2 linked regions of the Rattus norvegicus genome follow. The protein of the gene in region 2 interacts with the protein of the main gene of each other region in a biochemical or structural test. Links are inferred from orthologs where the notes say so. Each region holds a gene or a part of one and is shown on either strand. Other genes may lie near its edges.

Evidence for each region.
Region 1: the proteins of Ap2b1 (region 2) and Clint1 form a complex in vitro, tested with the Homo sapiens proteins (2 studies listed by BioGRID and IntAct, with this or other methods). The link is inferred for Rattus norvegicus from reciprocal best matches to the Homo sapiens genes AP2B1 and CLINT1.

Annotation. Positions count from the first base shown.
Region 1 is NC_086028.1:30,834,463-30,838,109, reverse strand, and holds part of Clint1 (clathrin interactor 1), read right to left. Parts: intron 2,664-3,647; coding exon 2,486-2,663; intron 1-2,485. UniProt on the Homo sapiens protein: Binds to membranes enriched in phosphatidylinositol 4,5-bisphosphate (PtdIns(4,5)P2). May have a role in transport via clathrin-coated vesicles from the trans-Golgi network to endosomes. Stimulates clathrin assembly.
Region 2 is NC_086028.1:68,599,274-68,603,526, forward strand, and holds the start of Ap2b1 (AP-2 complex subunit beta), read left to right. Parts: upstream 1-1,449; 5' UTR 1,450-1,566; intron 1,567-1,618; exon of another isoform or gene 1,619-1,762; intron 1,763-1,960; exon of another isoform or gene 1,961-2,074; intron 2,075-4,253. UniProt on the Homo sapiens protein: Component of the adaptor protein complex 2 (AP-2). Adaptor protein complexes function in protein transport via transport vesicles in different membrane traffic pathways.

The sequences.
Region 1 (3,647 bases), about 38 Mb from region 2:
ACCTGAAAATGAACCCGAATGTGAAGCAACTGGTTTTTACAATTGTGCTGCACTTTGCTACTGTTACATCAAGCATTACATAACTGTCAACTGTAGAAACTTAACTATATTTTAAATATTTCTGAAACAATTATTTTACTCATGTTAACATTTCAAGTCAACCAATCAAAAGCTCTATAAAAGCGAACCTCTAGGAAGCAAGAATCCAGGATTTCCACATGCTGGGAATGAAAGGAGTCTATTCTCTAATGTTAAGTCACTGAGTTTTTGTCTGGGATTGAGCAGGCGAGTGGGAGAGAAAAGACAATGTGTGTGTGTGTGTGTGTGTGTGTGTGTGTGTGTGTGAGAGAGAGAGAGAGAGAGAGAGAGAGAGAGAGAGAGAGCGCGCAAGCAAGGGACAAGAACCTGAAGTATGTTCCATTATTTATATTCCCTAGTTGTAGGATAGGCAGTTTAATTTATGAATATCCTAAAGTAAAATGCTTGACTTTCCCCTTAAACTATGAGTATCACTGATGAACTCTGACTCCAATCTAAAGCAATCTCAACTTAATACAAGTCACTTTGGGACTTAGATACATCAAGGGTCAGAAAGCATAGCTTATAGGCTGGCAAGAAGGCTGCACACAAAGCCCTGAGTCACATGTAACTCTGTCTACAGCATGCTGTTTTCTCACCAACACTTGAAAATGCAACATGCACACATCACCAACTGGTATTTGGAATATAGTCCGGATCTTTAATCTGAATTCTCCGGATCAAAGAGGTAGAACTCTTACCCATCCTGCCTCAGACTGGCCATCATCAGCATCACCCAGGCAAACAAGGAAGGCAAAAAAAAAAAAAAAAAAAAAAAAAAAGCAAGCAGAGTTCAAGGAAGAGGAGAAGAAGCCCCTAAGGATATCAGAAGAAGGTAAAATAGAGTAGGACCACACACTGCTATATCACTAAGACCCTACACCTCATCCCCCACTTCAAGTCAGGTCAAAAACTTATACATAGGACACAAGAGCCTGTGTAGAATATTAATAAGGGAAGACAGGAGAGTACTTAGACACTCTCTCTCAGGCTGCAGTGTTACACCTGCAGGCCTCTGGTAGAAAGCAGATACGTTCCTATTACTGATACTACTGTTCCTTCAAAGATTATGCCCTTACAAGTCTTAAAAAGGGCATTCTAGAGATTTAATGGCTCTGGAACCACACTGAATACACTGAACACAGGTATTTTGAAACCTTTTTAAAATCTGGCTATAGTTTTATTTGAACTTCATTCCCATGAACTGTAATCTGAACTATTATAAATGTATGGGTAGGAAAAAGATGCTAATTAGTTAAAAAAAAACAAAAACAAAAACAAAAACCAGCACCAGCACCAGCACCAGCACCACAAAAAACCCCAAACAAACAACAAACTCATTTTCCACAGGTCCATGCAGACTGAGTGGGCCTCAGGTTTTACTTCTATTGTTTGATGTCAGCTTATTATAACTGTCCTACATCAGAAGATGAAGCTTATAAACACAGGCCTGTGCGACTCCAGGTGCCTACCACTACTCCAGGTGCACCCCTGCGCAGGATTGCTCTGGTCACGTGAGCACAGGACGGCAATACTAAGTCTCAGGTAGTTAAATTTTAGCCTTTAACCTTCTCTCCAACGTAGGCTTCATTATCCCCTTCCCCCACACCTTATTTTAGACCATGGAACCGTCTGATGTCCAAATGTAAGATGACAATTATAAATTTTAGAGAGGGTAAAAATCTCGAGGCCAAGACTGAGATGCCTGAAGAAAAATGTAGAGGACAAGAACGGTTAGGGACAGACAGGAGGTGCAGACCGCTCGGAAGAGTCAATATTACTAGCACTTAGGGCTGACCTAGTATCATAAAACTAGGTGACTGGCAACTTTATAAATGGCTCCACTTTTCTTTTTATAGAGGGCATTTTCAGGGAGGCGACATTTGTTACTGGAGAATACTGCATGTTCAACATGGTAACCTCCAGCCTAAACTGTACACTGTAACTACAGCTTATCAATACTAGTTTTTCAGTTAAGAAATGTAACACAGGGGTTGGGGATTTAGCTCAGTGGTAGAGCGCTTGCCTAGCAAGCGCAAGGCCCTGGGTTCGGTCCCCAGCTCCGAAAAAAAGAAAAAAGAAGAAAAAGCAGAAGAAGAAGAAAAAGAAAAAAAAAGAAAAAAGAAATGTAACACAATTATCTTGAAACCATGAGAAAGAGAAAGGGTATGTAGTGCCTTCTGTACTTTATGATCAAATTTTCTGTGTCATATAGATTTCTCTAACAAAGTGTGTTTTTAAAAAAGGCTAAGCTTTAGATAACAGCAATACATCAAAATTAAACCAAACCAAACCAAACCAAACGGCTGCGTAAAGCAAAGCCCTTAAGCAAGTGGTGGAGAGGCGGTGGAGAGGCGGTGGAGAGGTGGTGGAGAAGTGGTGGAGAGGCGGTGGAGAGGCAGCGTACCTGCACCTTTCCGGAGAGTCCTCCCGGTCTTTCCTCCGGAACTTGCTGATGGTGTCGTCGATTGTGCTCCCGATCTTGTCGCTCAGCTCCCCTAGCTTGTCACTGAATGGAAACGCACTCTTGTTCTTATCCCACTCTTCGTCCCATTTGGACTTGGGCTCAGGGTCATACCGTTCATCTGTGTAAACAACGAAGAAAAACAACTGAGGATATTAAATCTGGAAGGTTCCAGTGTCCTTCCTTCTCCTAAGAAAATTATTTTTAAGGGAAAACGAATCTCCCACAGTGCCACACAAACACAACATGGTGCAGCCCATGCCAATCAAAAGCCTGTCTTCAGGTAACTTCACAGCCTTGATGGACAGGACAGATCTGAAGCCCTTGAACACTGCTACAGGAGTAGATACAGAAGCCATTCTATAAACACAAGACAAATGAACATCTTTCCAGTTTTCTAAAGTCATCCAATGAGTTCAATGACTATTTTATTCTTATCTTAATGGTTCTTCATTTTTAGACAAATATAAGCCAATGACAATATCTTAAACAGAAAGTAAGGCTATGTGCTGTGGTCCATGCCTATAACCCCTGTGTTCAGGAGATGGAGGCAGAGAGTGCAAGTTCTAGGGCAGCCCAGGCTCTGCACAAGTGGATGTGCGTCCAACAAACAAACAACAGAGAAAGGCAAGAAAGCGAGTTTGGGGGTGCAGAGAGAAGGGAGAAGGGGAGGGGAATAAGGCTGAAGGAGTGAGCACACACACAGAGCAAGCTAGCAAGACATGACGGTAAACTACACCAGAGCGAAGCTCAGTGATCATTTGAGAGCAAGAGTCCAAAGCTATGCAGTGCAGCACAACACAATGAGATCACCATCTCAGTAACAGGTGAAAGAGGAAGGAAGGGCAGACAGACGCATGGACCCAAAGGAGGAGGAGGGAAGGAAATTGACTGACTAACTAACCACTTAAGCACTGTTTCCCTAAAAGAACTCTGGTCTGAGCCCCATGACCCAGTTAGCTGAAAGGACCACATCCTTTAGTACCAAGAATGCAAATGAATGGAGTGAGGCATGGGAAGAATCCTGTAATTTTATTAAAAAAAATTCTAATTCTCCAAATCTTCACACTTTAGAACTATAAATGCTCTGAGCAGCTCCGACTTG
Region 2 (4,253 bases):
TTGCTGGGATTTGAACTCAGGACCTCTGGAAGAAGAGACAGTGCTTTTGACCTCTGAGCCATCTCTCCAGCCCGTTTTGTTTTTCTTTTCTTTTCTTCTTTTTTTTTTCCCCCGGAGCTGAGGACCTAACCCTTGTGTTTGCTAGGCAAGTGCTCTACCACTGAGCTAAATCCCCAACCCTTTGTTTTGTTTTTCAAAGACAGGGTTTCTTTGTGTAGCCCTGACTCTCCAATTCATATTGTAGACCAGGCTATCCTTGAACTCACAAAGATTCACCTACCTCTGCCTCCTGAGTGCTGAGGTTAAAGGCTTATGCCACCACACCTGGTTACCTTGTTTTTTTTTTTTTGTTTTTGTTTTTTTTTAATATATAACAATTTATTTATTTTATGTATAGAAGTACACTGTAGCTGTCTTCAGACACCAGAAGAGGGCATCAGATCTCATTACAGATGGTTGTGAGCCACCATGTGGTTGCTGGGAATTGAACTGAAGACCTCTGCAAGAGCAACCAGTGCTTTTAACCACTGAGCCATTCTCTCCAGCCCTGCCGTGAGTTTTAAGTTTCAAATCTGGGGGCTGGAGAGATGGTTCAGTGGTTAAGATCACTGGCTGCTCTTTCAAAGGACCTGGGTTTAGTTATCAGCTCCCACATGGCAGCTCACAGCTGTCTGAGATTCCAGTTCCAGGGGACCGAACACTCTCACATACATACACGCAGGCAAAACACCAATGCACATTAAAGATGTTCAATAGTAGAGTGAGGGAAGCCTGGGTAGGAGAACCACTAAGCCTTACTGTCAAGGTATATATATAGATAGAGAAGTTCAAAGTGCTCTAGAGGCAGAAGCAAGAGGGGCTTAGTTTCAGGCTTGCTTGAGATACACAGCCCAATGCTGGTTTTTCTTTTTAAACACCAGTAGTACCAGTTTAGTTTCCTAAAGAAACCTGTATCCACTAAGTGTTTTGGGTACCTTATACCACGCAAGCCTACGGGCGAGGCAGGAAGGGGGCGCTAATAAGTTTCTCCAGTCTTGTACAACGTAGGGATTCAAACTCAGATCTGAATACTTCTTAGCATCTTTGAGTCGCTAACTCCTAGTTCAGCTGCCCACCTGTACTTCTGGTTTCTATCACCTCTATGGGCTTCTGAACCTTACATGCAAATTAGCCGAGGTTTGTGTTTAAGCATATAGGATATCTCACACAGGTTTAACAAAATTCTTGTTCATGGAAATAAATCAAGAAAATATCTACGTATTGAAGATATCCTTTGGAAAAGCCACTGCGGGTTTCCTTAGTCTGCCCTAACCCTGAGAAAGGTAAACCTTTCCGTTGCTGAGGCGACAGACACAACTTGGCTGTTTGGTTCTCCCGCGCACCCGGATGACGTCAGGCGGCGAGATTCTCTTACGCCAAAACTTCCGGCCCACCATCTTTGTCCCTGGCAAATTGGGTTTTGCGCAGTGTCTTAGATCTAGAGAGAATCGTGACGGGCAGGAAACCATTACACCACCTTCCCGGCTGTGCTCTCTGACTGCCGCCGCCACCCCGCCCTTGCCTCCGGTGAGTTCAAGGCGGCTGGCTTTGGGGTGTGTCCCTGACTGGGGGTAGTTGTGAAGGAAGGGAACCCCAAGCCGGGTCGTAGGCGCAGGAGGAAAGGAGAAACGGGGAGCGTGACGGTTGAGGATGGAGGGAGTCCTCGGGTGTGACCGTTGTGAGGGAAAAGCTTGGAGAAAGTACCTCTTTCGTAGTGACCGTGGTGGGTTGGGGCTGAGCTCCGGTGTAGCAGCGATAGTTGGGGGCTTCAAAACGAAGCAAGGTTCGGAAGACCGGCTTGGGTAGGGCTCAGGCCAGGGGTGTGGCCGCTGGAGGCCCAGGGAGAACCACCTAGATTTCCCGTTTGGCATCTGTTCATTGAGAAAGAAGCTTGGACGTGTCCGTCCAGCACGCCTAGGGAGAAAGGATTCCCGCGACCGTTTGGTCACTGAAACCTCCGTTGTCACCCGTATTCGGAGGCATCTCTCCTTATCCTGGACAGTTTTCTTGACCGGGTCTTGACCTGCGGAGGGAAGTGGGTAAAGAGAATAGGGGACTAAATAATGTTCTTCGAGAAAGGAAGGAGAAACTTGCGTAATTGACCTCCTGTGTGAGAGGGGGAAGCCAGTGAAAGTAAATCTTAGCCTGGAATTGTTTTTCTTTTTTTAGCTCCCTTTATTCCCCGGGGTTATTAGGAGCAGTCTAGTTTGGGCAAGGCTGTAAAAGTCTACTAGAAGTGAAAAAACTGGAATTTCCTGCCATTTCTTTATTCTTTGAATTCTCAGGATGTATTAGTATTTTGAGCAGCCCTGTTTAGAGGAAGGCTCTTATTAAACTCAAGCAGTTTAGGTATGAAGCAGTATGAATCTGTCATGGATGCTTCGCTGAATTTTTTTTTTTTTTTATCATTTAGAAGGGAGATTATTTTTTTAAAATGGCCAAACTCTTTTGTGACCTTTGTGGTTTAAAAGACAAAGGACACACTATAAGCACAGCAAGGCAAGTTAACTGAAAAGAAGGTGGTCTCAGAGAGGAACAATCTAAATTATCACCTGCTTTCCTTGTGTAGTTCTACTGCTCAGCCTCAGGGTGCACTTACAAGGTATTAATAGAAAGCGGCAGGTGAAGTAGGTGCAGCCACCAGTAACACATTCCCGGGATGACTAAGTGAGGCGGGCGGACATGTAAAATGAGAGCAGAGTAGGTGTCTTGCAGGGGAGACTCCCTGAGAAATAAAGGGGAGTGTGCTCTGCAAAAAAGCTCCCTAAAGTTGAGTGGTAAATTAATACAAAGTAAACATTCTGAGAAAATAAGACTCAGAGAAGTCCCTCACATCCCCTTCCCCTGTAAAAGGTCATTGCTTTCCTCTTAAGGCACACATTTGAACCAAGTCAGACAGGGAGCATTCAGAGGACATCATCCCCATTTTTCTTCTTTCCTCCTAGGCTTAGGTTTCCCCAAATGTCTTGGAATTTCATAACAGTTGGGTGTAAAACTGTTGGGCTTCTTTCTTTACGCATAATACTATATTAATGAATTAACTTGTAGTTGTTTAAATAGAAGCCAGAGGTGGATTTAGCTTTTAAATGTTTTATTTCTGATAAGCTAATTAATCTGAAGCTGCTATTGTCCTGGTGTTATGAACATTTTAGCCAGAAATGGTCTTCATACCACTCATCCTTATAAGCAGAGGTTCCTGGAATGTCACTAATGCTTTGCAGTTTACTGAACTCTGGCTAGTTATTGACTTCATGTGCAAAGAAGGGCATAGTGGCCTTGCCAGTGCTAACGTTGGCTGCCATTTCCCAGACAACTACTTGAAATTAAGACCTTACTAATTTGTTTCTGACTGTATTCTACCCAGCCTGTTAATCTTGGTTTGCTGTTGAGTTGCTCTTTGGGGAAATTGGAGGAGGGGAAGGCTGGGAGGAGAGAAAGGACGTTGACAACCTATATTTGGCAGAAACTAGGTTATGTTAATCTAGATCTATACCCTTGTACTGTGAAAGGCAGTGAAGCAATACTGTGGGCTAGGACAAGTTCAAGGATTACTGCTTTGCCTGGTGGCTGCTCTGTCCTTTAACAATGTCCCTAGGCCACACCTTAAGTCAGTCAGTGACCTTTCAGGTTTCATGTTGTATAAGGTGGTGTAAGTTCAAATTCCATTGTGGCTTGCTTATTTCTAGGGATTTCCTGAAAAATTTTGCCCCAGTAGGATTTTGAATTTTGAAGCACTAGGCAAGTTGAAGTTGTATTTTTCCAGTTCTATTGTGGCTTTGTGTGTGTGTGTGGTTTCTACTGTGGGCACCAGTTTTACACCCTATACTGGAGAATTTGACTGAATATTTGGCAAGTGTTTGGGAGGGTCTTTATTAAAAAATAGTTATATGAATTGTGAGTTGAGAGTCACAGGGACATTAAGGTTCTGTCACTACCACTCTTTCTCATTTTAATTAAATACTTAAAATTCATACAAATATATAATGTGTTTAAGTCTAGGCTGCTCCCCCAGCCCCCCCAACCCTTTCTTTCTACAGTGCTTTTGTTTAGACTGTTTTCATTCTCCCTTATCCCCCACACCTCTGCCCCCGCCTTAAGGATAGACTGGATGCCTTGTTTTTCTGCCTGTATGATGGCAATTATTTCATCACAATTATTGACTATGGTGTCAGTTAAATGAGTGATATATTTACCTGCTTTTTTTTTTTCCTTTT